Callithrix jacchus: one gene and its partner. The protein of the gene in region 2 purifies or fractionates together with the protein of the main gene of each other region. This does not show direct contact. Links are inferred from orthologs where the notes say so. Each region holds a gene or a part of one and is shown on either strand. Other genes may lie near its edges.

Region 1 (6,000 bases), on a different chromosome or scaffold from region 2:
CAGTAATGTTAATAGTTGTACGTAAAGCAAAACATTCAGAATATAAACTTTTTGAATTAGTATCTCTTACACAGAAGAAAAAAATCTTTATAAATTTCCTTAACACTTTTAATAAGCAAAGAAGCAGTAACAAAATAATGTATATAAAGATATGCCAAATTGTGAAATGGTAGAAAAAAGGAGCTCTATGGTCAAATAATACATTATTTCTAGGCAGGATCTTGCAACTGTCTGATAAACAATTACTACACTAAATAGGAGGGTTGTGTTACACAGAGAGATTAATTTGAAGAGATGTATAAGGAGATTTGGCTATTATTTTCTTGTTGAGAATCCTAAGGAAAACATATCAAATGCATTAAAAAAACGTTAAAATGCTTTCACAATTTTAAATACCAATTGTGAAATAAATAAAAATTGCTAAATAAAGGTAGAACATTTTATGATTAGCAGTGTTTAATAATGTAATGAGAAGTTTCAAAATTTATTTACTGAAAATCATATTTACATTTTTTTTTACTCAATCACCTAATTAAAAAATACGTAGTAAATCATTTCTCATTTGTATCATTACCACAGCTAAATTTTAGGAATGGAACCAACCTTCATGGCTTGTTCAAGCTTAACAGATAAACTTGCTACAGCTTTCTGTGCTCGTTCATATTCTTCACGCTGGCGTTTCAAAATTGGTGCTTTGGCTTCCACTTCTTTCACTATTTCATCTAGGTACTTATTAATTCTTTTGTTCTCTAGTTTCTCCAAAAGCAACTGATCCTGAGTTTCCACATAAGCATTATAGAGCTGAAAGTAGAAGGATTGTTTGAAATCTAACCATAACAACACAAATATGTAGTCTATCTAGTTTCATAATAAACATTCTTTAACACTTACACAACACAGAAATGTTTACTATATGTTAGATACACAGAACTAGGAACTACAGGAAGACTTTCCTAGAATAATCCATTAATTATAAAATGATTTTCAAAACAATTTTTGAGAGAATTAAATTTCAGAGAGATTTGTATACCTTTGCTGAAGCAAAATAAGAAAATATCAAGATTTACTATCATTCTTACCTCAGTTAATTTCATCCCAGGTTTCACTATTTTAGCTACAGCTGCTGCAGTAGGAGACATGGCTGCAAGCTCTTCTTCAGATAATATGGCTCCTGTATCAAAATATATAATTTGGAATTTGTAAAATTCCAAACTACAAACCATTAATAAGTTTTTCAAGATAAGTGACATGTACTGTACATTATATAGTGATTGCTATAAACATTTTTAACATGACATCAAAAAGTCATGTGACACATCTAATTCTAAAAATCATGCAATCGTCTGGGAATTTACAAAACACTGTGTGATCAAATAGTACTTAGATACCTAATTCTGTAAAGATACAGATAGACCATTAATTTTAAAACAAATTCTAACAATGGAACTTGATGGAGTTTCCCTACATCACAGCATGACAGAGAAATACTATTAGTGAAATTAAATGACTTTCATGCAGGAAAGCTATAGTATTTCAAGCCACTAACAACCATCTATCAGCCATACCTTTACGTTTTGTGGCAGAAAGAAGGTCATTTGCATTCTCTAATTCCTTCTCCAATTTCCCTATTTTCTCGAGCATTTCTTTTTCCATTTGATCTTTAGATTCCTCCACCTCTAGAAGATGATCTTGTATTGCTTTGTTGGCTAAAAACAATTTTAAAGACCAAATATTCAAACATATAGTTAAAATTTTAGATTACAAAATGCACCAGATAAGTCACTTCTCACCTCAGCATTTCTACTGCATACTACATTTCTAGAGAAGCTACAGAAAGTTCTTGCTCTATTTATAATTTCGGAATTGTCTTGGCTGGTGAGTAGCTCCCCTTTTGATCTCTCTCACCCACAAGGAAAATAAGGAAACTCAAAGGGTAAAAAGTGGTTCTAGGTCTAGCTTTGATTTCAATTTCTATCTTTAATACTAAGTAAAGGGCATTATTGGAAAAGACCATAAATATCTTACACTGAAAAAAGCAAAAATTTAAGGAAATAAAACACTTTCCAAAATGCAAATGATAAAGAGGATGTCTTGTTTATGAAGTAAAAGAGTATTCAAACATACTTAATCAGAGTAAATGTTTCAAAAAAGAAAATTTTCTCATTAGAAATCAGGAAATTATATAAAATTATTAGATGAAAAACTTCAAGCAAAAAACCCCCTGCTGTCTATATGTTCAAAAACATATAAACTTACATTTGCATAAAATATAATTCCAAATTTCCTAATCCAAAGTTCTTTCTTCCGTACCTAATTCCAACCCAAATAAAGTCTAACACCTAAATCCAATAATCTATACAAAACAAGGGTAAAAAGAAAAACAATGCCTTCTATGTAATAACAAAAGTAACGTTCCCATAACTGAAAGCATTTACCTTCACCAGCTTCTTTCAAAAGTTTGTGTAGTTCATCCACTGCCCGGGTTAGTTCATTGCTCTTTGCTTCGGAGTCATCAGCGGCACTCTAAAAGTTAATCTTAAAAAGTTACCGAAGTCAACAATGCAACATTTAGATAGGCACATGTGTGGGGGCATATTTACCTTGTACAAGTTAGAAAGTTTTATGTGTGCATTTAATTCGTTATGGAATTTCTCTTCCATACTGGCCTGTTGCTCCTTGGCCTGAAAAAGACAGCCCAATTAGAGCAGTCTACTTTCAACTTAATTTAGAATACTTATCGAATGCCAAGATGAAAAATTCCATTTTGTAAAGTAAGAGATAAAAACTAAAACACTCAAATTCAAATCAGTCTTCATGACCAAGATAAATTAAGGATGAAACATTACTGGTATTTTAAATTCAAAGTAGAATAATTAAACAATAATAAAATTAACCCACACTCATTTTTTAGATAGTATTTTGGATATAACATATAATTGCTATTTCTGATTCTATTACAGCCTAGTTACATCACATGGAAGTAGTACTCTCACCATTTTATGGGGCCAAAGAGATTAAAACATGACATCATTTTGTGAAATAACAGCTTCATAAGTGCTTTAACATTTTATATAAAAAAATTTAATGGTCATCTATACCTCTTTTAATTTGGTCAACAGATCCTCCACATGCTTTTGAAGATGCTCATTTGATGTTTTTAAGCCATTCATCTGTTCTTCCAGTCTAGAAACCTAAAAACAAAAAAACAGAGCTGGAGGAAAGGATGTCATATTAACTGAAATGACTCTGATATGAGGTTCATGCTGCTAAGGAAAAGCTGAGTGACTCCCCATCCCCAGCTGAAAAAGCTATTAAAATATGAGTAAGAAAATTAAGAATAACTGCTTACAGAACAGCATGTTTCCATTTAGCTCACAAAAACTTACCATCACTTCTTTAGGCACAGACCACTTCTTAAACACGTTATTTTAGAAAAGATATATCGTAAGACAGCAGTTACTATCCAGATTTGATGAAGACTATCTTAAATTCTTTATTTAGATGCAACTGGTTGATTTCCTATGCCAAATGTTAATGCGTTATTAACATTTAACCCCTACTCTTAAAATTAATCAAGTACACACTATTGAATACATATTTAACAAACTGACACAGGAATCTAAGTTATACCCAACATGAAGGAAAATACAATTTTACTAACTTACCTCCTCTTTTTTATTTTCAAGATTACATTTAAGCTCTAGAATCTCATTTCCTTTTTCTCTTCCAAGAGCCAAAAGTTCATCAGTTTTTGTTTTCAACTCCGTATTCAGCCATGTATTCTGATTATGCAGCAATTCTTTTTCTTGTTCCAAGCGTTTTTCTCGATACTAAAGAAATCCAAGAGAGTAACCTCTACAGTTAAAGATGATATATGGCTATTCAAAAGATTTGTTCTATAACTAAGGGACACAAGTAGAATTTTATTCTAAAACAGAAATTAAGTATTTGCATAGATTCTTAACTAGAAAACATTAAGAACTATAACAAACTTAAATTTCAAATAAGCTAAACAGTTGAATTAGAATTGTCCTAATGCTTAATTTTTTGACATTAAAAACAAAAAATCCAGCTTCTAATTACTTTATTGCCTATATTTGAAACTTAATTTAGGTGAGTTTTAATTAAAAAATATAGTTTATGCATTAGGAATCATTTGTTACTTGCCTTAACAGAAACATCAGAAGCTTGAAGTTCATCCAATTTTAACTGAAGCTCACCCTTCGTTGTATTGCTTTCTTTAAGTTTTTCGTTGAGACGTTTAACATCCTCTAGAATGGTGAAAAAAGAATTAAAAAATAATGACTAATTAACACTTAGAGGAACCAAATATCAAAAATGTATCTCAAGGAATATAAACCTTTAATACAAAGTAAGCACAGCTGGCCCTTGAACAAGACAGATTTGAACTGTGCAGATTCACTTCCACTCATATTTTCTTCAATAAATACGTTGAAATTTTTTTCAAAAAACTTGCAACAGTTTGAAAAACTCAGAGACCACAGACCAGTCCAGGCAGCTCAGAAATGGAAACAAACTAAGAAAAATCTACTATGTTATAAGTGCATAAAATATATGTAAATACTAGCCTATTTTAACATTTACTCCATTAAAATATGCACAAATGTATGATAGAAACTTAAAAATTTTATCAAAACTTACGCACACAAACAGGACACGACCCCATATGTAATTAAGAGAAATATAAACAAATGTAAAGATGCTTTATTTAGCCATCACTGCATAACATTAACTGGAATACATACTGTACTACCGTAATACTTTCATAGCCACTTCCTGATACTACTGCATTAAGCTCAAGTGTTCTGAGTATGTTTAGAATGCTGTGACTCTAACGAGAGCAGTTTCTCTCTCCAGTAAATTGCATAATGAAGAAAATAGTAATCTTTTGAAGTTTTTGCATATTTGTCATTGTGTTTAGTGCAGTAACATAAACCTTGAATAACAACATGGGATCCATCAGAAGGCCACTAGTGACACTGGAAGTGCTTTTAAGAAGCAGAGAAAAGTCATGACAATATTTTCAAGAGCTGAATTGCTTGACATGTACCATCAATTGAGGACTACAGCTTGGTTACCCACCATTTCAAGATAAATGAATCCTGTATAAAGACCGTTGTTAAGAAAAAGAGAAAGAAAATAGGTGAAGCCATCACTGCAGCTACTCCACAGCAAACATAAAAAAGTGCATTTCTGCAAAATACCTTCTTGTCTCCTATTGAAAATGCAACTTTTATGGGGTGCAGGATTACTATCACATACCCATAGACTCTAATATGATTTGAGGTAAAGCAACGTCATTACACAACAACTTAAGGTAAAAGGAAGGTGATGGATCTAAAGCTCGAGAATTTAATGTCAGCAAAGGATGGTCTTATAATTTTACAAAGAGGTTTGACTTAAAAAAAGTCAAGAAAACATCACATGCAGGTTCTGTCAACCAAGCAGACGCTGTTAAGAAAATCATTGAGAAAGGTTATACGCCTGCACAGGTTTTTAATGTAGATGGAAGTGTCCTATTCTAGAAAAAAATGCCACAAAAGACATTTATTAGTTAAAAAGGGAAGAGAACACCAGGATATAGGGCAGGAAGGGATTGGCTAACTCTACTGTATTGTGCAATGCAGTCAGGTTTATGATCAGAACTGCCCTTATTCACAAGGTTGTTAACCCCAGAGCCTGAAGGAAAAAGATGAACACCAGCGATTGTCTTTTTGTTACACAAGAGGAAGACCTGGACAAGGGAACTTTTTCTCTGAATTAGTTCCACTGATGCTTTGTCCCTGAAGTCAGAAAGTATCTTGCCAGTAAAGGGGCTGCCTTTTTTTTTTGAGAAAGAGTCTTGGTCTATCCCCGGCACACCGCAACCTCTGCCTCCCTGGTTCACGCAATTCTCATGCCTCAGCCTCCTGGGTAGCTGGAACTACAGGTGCACATCACCATGTGCAGCTAAGTTTTAGATCTTTAGTAGAGATGGGG
Region 2 (6,429 bases):
CTTAAGGTGCATGAGCATTCATTATCAAAACAAAGTAAGCAAACAAACAAGGAAAAATAAATTTTTCCGTTTTCCATCATTTAGACTCTAACCAGATAAATACTTTAAATGTTAACATTTTCACAATACAAGGATTTAAGTTATTTTTCTAAATTTGAGTTCTAGGTACTACTGAGCCTATCAGGAAAAATCTTACTGCAATTATGGATGCTTTCATTATAGCATAACTGAGCAGTTAAAAACACTAATGAGTCAATGGACTCTTCATGTTTTAATTTTATAAGGCTTACCGAGGCAGTGAATTGCAGTGGGCATAAACTTTGGAGTAAACAGATCATTGTTTGAATCCCAATTCCATTATTTACATACTTTACAGAGTCTTACTCTTTCGCCCTGGCTGGAGTACAGTGGCACAATCGCAGCTCACTGCAACCTCTACCTCCTTGGTTCAGGCAATTCTCCTGCCTCAGCCTCCTGAGTAGCTGGGATTACAAGCATGACCCACTACGCCAGCTAATTTTTGTATTCTTAGTAGAGATGGAGTTTCACCATGTTGGCCAAGCTGATCTCGAACTCCTAGCCTCAAGTGATCTGCCCACCTCAGCCTCCCAAAGTGTTGAGATTACAGGCGTGAGCCACTGTATCCAGCTTATTTACATACTTATTGCCTATATTATAACTTCTCTAAGTCTTGCTTTCAGTTTTGGTAAAATAGAATTAACAATACCTATGTCATAGTTACTGTGTGTTTATGTAAAATACAGTACTTTGTACATGGCAAGAGTTCAACAAATAACTGCAATCATTATTATTTGTGCTTAATTATTGATATAGTAACCAAATACTAATTGTTCTACAATAAATGTTAGCTGCTATTATAATTATCATTATTATTAAGTGCTTTAAAAGCAAAAAAGTCTTACAAGGCTGTCGAAATGAGCTAGGAGTTCGAGGAATAACCTGGTTTCTTGGTGTAGTATTACCAAAATTTTCATCTTGAGATGACTGAACTGTACAATGAGTTAAGAAAAGTTTTCCACGTAGAAAAGAGATCATTAAAGTGAGAACTAACAATATTTTTACTATACAAATTATGTGAATACATTTACCAAGAATAAGGTATTTTATGGCTACTATTTTTCTATGCAAAGGGTAAATGATTCCTTCTGCCATTTAAATTCTCAGATGTCAGTCTTAGATAACTACTGAACTAAATGTTTTTAGTCAGTTTTCAAATAATAAAAAAATCTAATTTCAGCAGAAGCTAACCACAATATGATAGTCAGTAGTAAAATGAAATATCTTTATTCTTAGGGAAACATAATCTCATTAAATTTTAGCATTATATTTACCAAATGACAGTTCCGCAGAGTGAAAAAAAATTTCTACAGGATTTTATTACAGCTAACATTTAATACTCTCATAAAAGAAAATTCTACAACACCGATTCCAAGCATGTTACAATTTTTATAATGATGCTTAAATCGCAAAGGATACTTAAAACTCTTTTTTGAGCACTCTGTTTCCGTGCAGTCCGTGTCACCTCTGCCTCCCGGATAACAGGGGATGATATATCTCCAAAGCCACTCCTAAAGTAGTATAATCAAGCTTACATAAGTGAAATGAGAATGTAGTATTTGTAAAAGAATTTTATCATCACAGCTGGAGTAAAGGGCTCTGAGTAAGTTGTGGTATAGGTCATTCCAATAGCCAAGTCTTAGATCTTTTGCTGAGAATGCACTCCTGGCTCCAAATCCTGCTTATTCTTCAAAGCCTTACTCAAATCTTACCTGCACAAAGACTTCTCTGACTTTCTAGTACTCACTATGTTATTTTCTCCTAAGGAATTATTTCAACACTTGGAATCTATAACACTGTTTTAGATAACTGCTTCATAAAAGTCAATCTCATTTCCCTTGTTGGATTGAGGAGTTATCTAATTACAGGAATTCTCTCTTAAAAGATTTTCTGCAGTCTCCAAAATGCTTTAAAACACAGGTACCACTGAAAAACAAACAACAACACAAAACAGAGCTTGTGAGATAAGAGGGTAAATAAAAGAATTCTGGTAAATGGAGCAGAATGATCCTTCAAATTATTTCAACCCAGGATGTCTCCTGTCCCATCACATCACTCCCTGTCATTTTCACTCAAAGGTCTAGAAACGAAATTGTGTGGATGAAAAGGCCTATGTTTAAGGCAAGAATCTGATATGCTTTTCCTCCACTTAAAACCTTCAGATATTCCTTCAGCAAGAAAGTATGGAAAACAATAACCAAAACAAAATTTAAAAGGTTTAATTAAAAAACAACAACAAAAAAAACTTCAGATATCTCTCTCTAGTCTATAGAAGTACAAATTCCCTAAAAAGCTATTTACAATGTGACCCCAGTTTAGAGGTTCAGTCTTATATTCAGCCACAAATATCGCTTTAAACATATTCTGCATGTGACTGCCGACAAAGCACGTACTTTTTTCTATATCCTAACACCTTTGAATAAGTTTCTTTTAAAACGACCTACAGTGGCTCCCTTGAGCACCTGGTCAACAACTACTTACTCCTCAAAGAGCCCCAGGTAGCCTGGAGACACACAGATGCAGGTTGGGAATTTGGTCCTTGTATTTACTACTAGCCTTCTAACTTTCAGCAAGTTCCTTAACCTCTTTTAGTCTCAGTGGTATCTATGAAAAAAGGATAACAGCACATATTTTCATAGAATTTTTCTTGTTCTGAAGATTAAACAAGCTAATAATATATATTCAAATCCTTTGGAACAATGCAGTCACATAGCAGTACTCAAGGTTTGGAGTACCAATAATGTACTATTATTACTCAAACACCAACTAGAAAGTTACCTTCTTCGAGAGGTCTTCCTGATAGTTATATAGTGACAGGGAGACTTAATCGTTCCAAAACACTTATCACTTTATATGCTTGGTTGTCTCCACTACACAACCAATTCCCCGAGGTGAAGGATCTTGAATAACTGATCTTTGTTGCAGCCGGCTAGCATAATACCCAGATTATAGAAGGAACCCAGTATTTGATGCTGGCACTTGTGATCAGAAAGTCTGGGCTGAGATCCCAGTATCTTCATTGACTGGCTTTGTGATCTCAGGCTGGTCACTCAGCATGTAGAACGCCGGGCTACCTACCCCGCCCACCTCAGGAAAGAATAGTGTTGCTGCCCCAAAGCGCCGAATAGATCGCAGAACACAGTGAGAATGTAGGGAACCATCATAATCCGTATCCCACCCCGACGCAAGCCAAGCGACCTTTTCCGCATTTGTAGCCAAATTTCCTGGCCTGGGGAAGGAGTCTTAGGGGAAGCACCCGGGACCTCCTCCTTGGCTTTTTCTGGGAGTCTAGTTTCACCTATTTCGTTTCGCCAGCAGGCGAGAGGGACAAGACTTCGGGCTCAGCTCCCACGATCAGAACTGACCTGTCCATGGCTAAAGCCTTTTCCATACAGAACCAAGGTTGGCTCCAGTTTAGTTACCGCGTTTTAGCCTTCCCGCTCTCCGGAAGCAAGCCTTTCGACCTGGAAGCACTCTCCCTAAAACAGCCCCACAGAAAAAGCGCAGGGGAGAAGAAACAACGTTCCCACCTAGCGCATGCGCGACTTGAGCCTACATGAGCTAGCCCGGTGGGCGCAGGCGCAAAGTTTGCCAACTTGTGCCTGGCTGGACCAGACAGGACCGGGGGCGGGACCTAGTCGCGTTTAGCCCGGAAGCGTTGCGGCCGCTTTGCCTGACCGATGTCTGTGGGCGTGGAACAGGCGTTGGGTTCTCCTACTGGGAAAAACGAATTATGTTGATAGTCTGGAAAAATGTGAAGTCATTACCTGGTATTCTCTCAGAAAGCGCCTGTTGTTGGAATTCAGATATGTGGGCTCTGCCTCGAGAAATTTCTGTTTCTCTCCCTACGCTCAGTCCTTTGTGCTGTAGCTTCATACAGTTTTTGAAAGTATTTTCCATAACTGCTATTTGTTCTTTACTTGGTATTTTTTGCTATGGAGGAAAAAAAGTTCACCCGTATTAAAAAGTAGAAAGGCAAGCGTAAAATATGATGGTATTGCCCTCTATTCAAAGTGCCGTGTAGGCAAATAGTGGTTATATTTTGGTCTTGAAGGAGTCACATTTTTGTTTTTTTTCATATTTGAAAGTAGTGACTGGTTATTAACTGATAAGATTACAAAAATAATATTAGACACCTCAGTTTATCCATTTAATAAGCCTGTTGATATGGTCTTTTCTGTTGCTGGCATTTATACCTTTCATTAATACAAAATAGGTAGTCCTTCATTCTACCTCGTGGAGAAGATAATTTGAAGGATCACGGGAACTTGAAGAATTTTTCAACAACATAGAGCTCTCGAATCAGATTCTCCAGTCAGATGATGCCATATTTATCAAGAGATCTAGCAATTAAAGAGTTATCTCTGTTAAGGTAATTTGTTTATTGGTTTTACTATAACCAGTAGGTATATCAGTTTATTTGTTGATTTCAGGTTCAGGTGCCCCATGCAATAGGTGGTTCTGCAATCCTCAACATTGTTAACCGAAACCTTGTTGAGTTTAACAAAGGTGCCATTGACAATCTGGGGAAAGTGAAGAAGTTGCCACAGACTTTTGGGCTTACACTATTGATACATTTGATCCTTATTGCAAATGACATTTTGGGTTTCACAGATATGTAGAAATTGCCAGCTTTTCTTGCCATATATTCCTGGTGACAGTGCTGAGCTTTTTTTTCTTTTCTTTTTGAGATTATGTCTCGCTCTAGTCCAGGCTGGAGGGCCGTGGCGTGATCTCGGCTCACTGCGAAGTCTGCAAGCAAGGAAAAAGCTACATCTATGAAAAAGCTAAGCACTGTCGGGTGCGGTGGCTACCCCTGTAATCCCAGCACTTTGGGAGGTCCAGGTGGGAGGGATGGCTTGGGCCCAAGAGTTTGAGACCAGCCTGGGCAACAACATGAGACCCTGTTTCTGCAATATATATATATATATATATATATATTTTTTTTTTTTTTTTTTGAGGCAGGGTCTCGCTTTATCACCCAGGATGGAGTGCAGTGACATGAGATTGGCTCACTGCAACCTCTGCCTCCCAGGTTTAAACAATTCTGCTTCAGCTTCTTAAATAACTGGGATTACTGGAATGCACCACCATGCCGGGCTAATTTTTTGCATTTTTAGTAGAGATGGGGTTTCTCCATATGGATCAGGCTGGTCTCAAACTCCTGACATCATGTGATCCACCTGCCTTGGTCTCCCAAAGTGCTGGAATTACAGGCGTGAACCACTGCACCATCACAAATATTTTTTAAAAAGTAGGGGAGTGGGCATGAGAGAGAGACATCAAATATACACTGTACATAGCAGGTCATCGAAATGTTACTTTACTCCTTCAATAACCTTTTTGAAGAATTATGCCCTGGTGTGGTCTCATTCTCCCAACCTCCTAATTTTCCTGTACAAAAAGTACGCTTGTTCTTATAGAAAGCAAAATGTGGTGCTAATGATTTTTGTCAGTGCTGGGGCAAGTTAATTCAAAGTGTTATCTGTGGTTCAGGTTCTTGCTCCATGTCCCTCAGCAATTGAATTCCAGTGAGTTTTATTCATGTAATATAACTGAAGTGTACTTGAGGTGGTTGACCATGAAGCACACAATAAGAAAGAAGAGCAGTTTGGGGCAAAAAAAATTAGCCCTGTGTTCAGTACATATGCAAAGACAGAAAACTTTCTGGAAAGTGCACTGCGTTTCTCTTTGACACATTTAATTACTAGGGATGAACACCATATGGCCCCCACCAAAATTTCAAAACATACTCATTTCATTACCATAAAGGATTTGGAATAAATTTCTTATGTGGTATATATTTGTATACATGGTAGCTTTGGATTTAGTATTCTTGGTTGCAGTGACAGAAATTGACTGATTAACTTAAAAAGGAATTTACTGGAAACACATCAGGAGCTCTTGGAATTGTTAAGAAACTGGAGAAAAGGTCTGGGAAAGCACAGCTCTTCAGGAGCTGAAGACCAGGAAGCATCTATCCCAAAGATACTCAAATTCCAACTGTTTGCTCTGGAGTATCCTTCATTCCCTTATTCCCAACAGCTGGGGTGTCAAATATCATTATTTGCACCCCCACCGCCCTGCCCCACCCCAGTTTTTTTTTTTTTTTTTTTAAACAGACTATTTGGATTGCTCAGGCTGGAGTTCAGTGGCACAATCTTGGCTCACTATAGCCTCAATTTTCTGGACTCAAGCAATCCTCCCACCTCAGCCTCCTGGGTACCTGGGACTACAGACACGCGCTGTCACACCTAGCTAATTTTTTAAATTTATGTTTTTGTAGAAGCGGAGTCTCTCTATGTGTTCAGCCTCCTGAGTAGCTGGGGTTACAGCCATGTGCCACCACAC

Evidence for each region. Proteins that work in one complex are often made in the same cells at the same time.
Region 1: the proteins of NUP107 (region 2) and TPR fractionate together in Homo sapiens (co-fractionation; 4 studies listed by BioGRID and IntAct, with this or other methods). This does not show direct contact. The link is inferred for Callithrix jacchus from reciprocal best matches to the Homo sapiens genes NUP107 and TPR.

Annotation. Positions count from the first base shown.
Region 1 is NC_133519.1:44,385,045-44,391,044, forward strand, and holds part of TPR (nucleoprotein TPR), read right to left. Parts: intron 4,272-6,000; coding exon 4,168-4,271; intron 3,831-4,167; coding exon 3,666-3,830; intron 3,192-3,665; coding exon 3,099-3,191; intron 2,682-3,098; coding exon 2,601-2,681; intron 2,524-2,600; coding exon 2,436-2,523; intron 1,707-2,435; coding exon 1,566-1,706; intron 1,172-1,565; coding exon 1,080-1,171; intron 802-1,079; coding exon 604-801; intron 1-603.
Region 2 is NC_133510.1:50,460,995-50,467,423, forward strand, and holds the start of NUP107 (nuclear pore complex protein Nup107), read right to left. Parts: upstream 3,537-6,429; 5' UTR 3,470-3,536; coding exon 3,444-3,469; exon of another isoform or gene 2,857-3,443; intron 1,590-2,856; coding exon 1,498-1,589; intron 1,011-1,497; coding exon 924-1,010; intron 1-923. UniProt on the Homo sapiens protein: Plays a role in the nuclear pore complex (NPC) assembly and/or maintenance. Required for the assembly of peripheral proteins into the NPC. May anchor NUP62 to the NPC. Involved in nephrogenesis.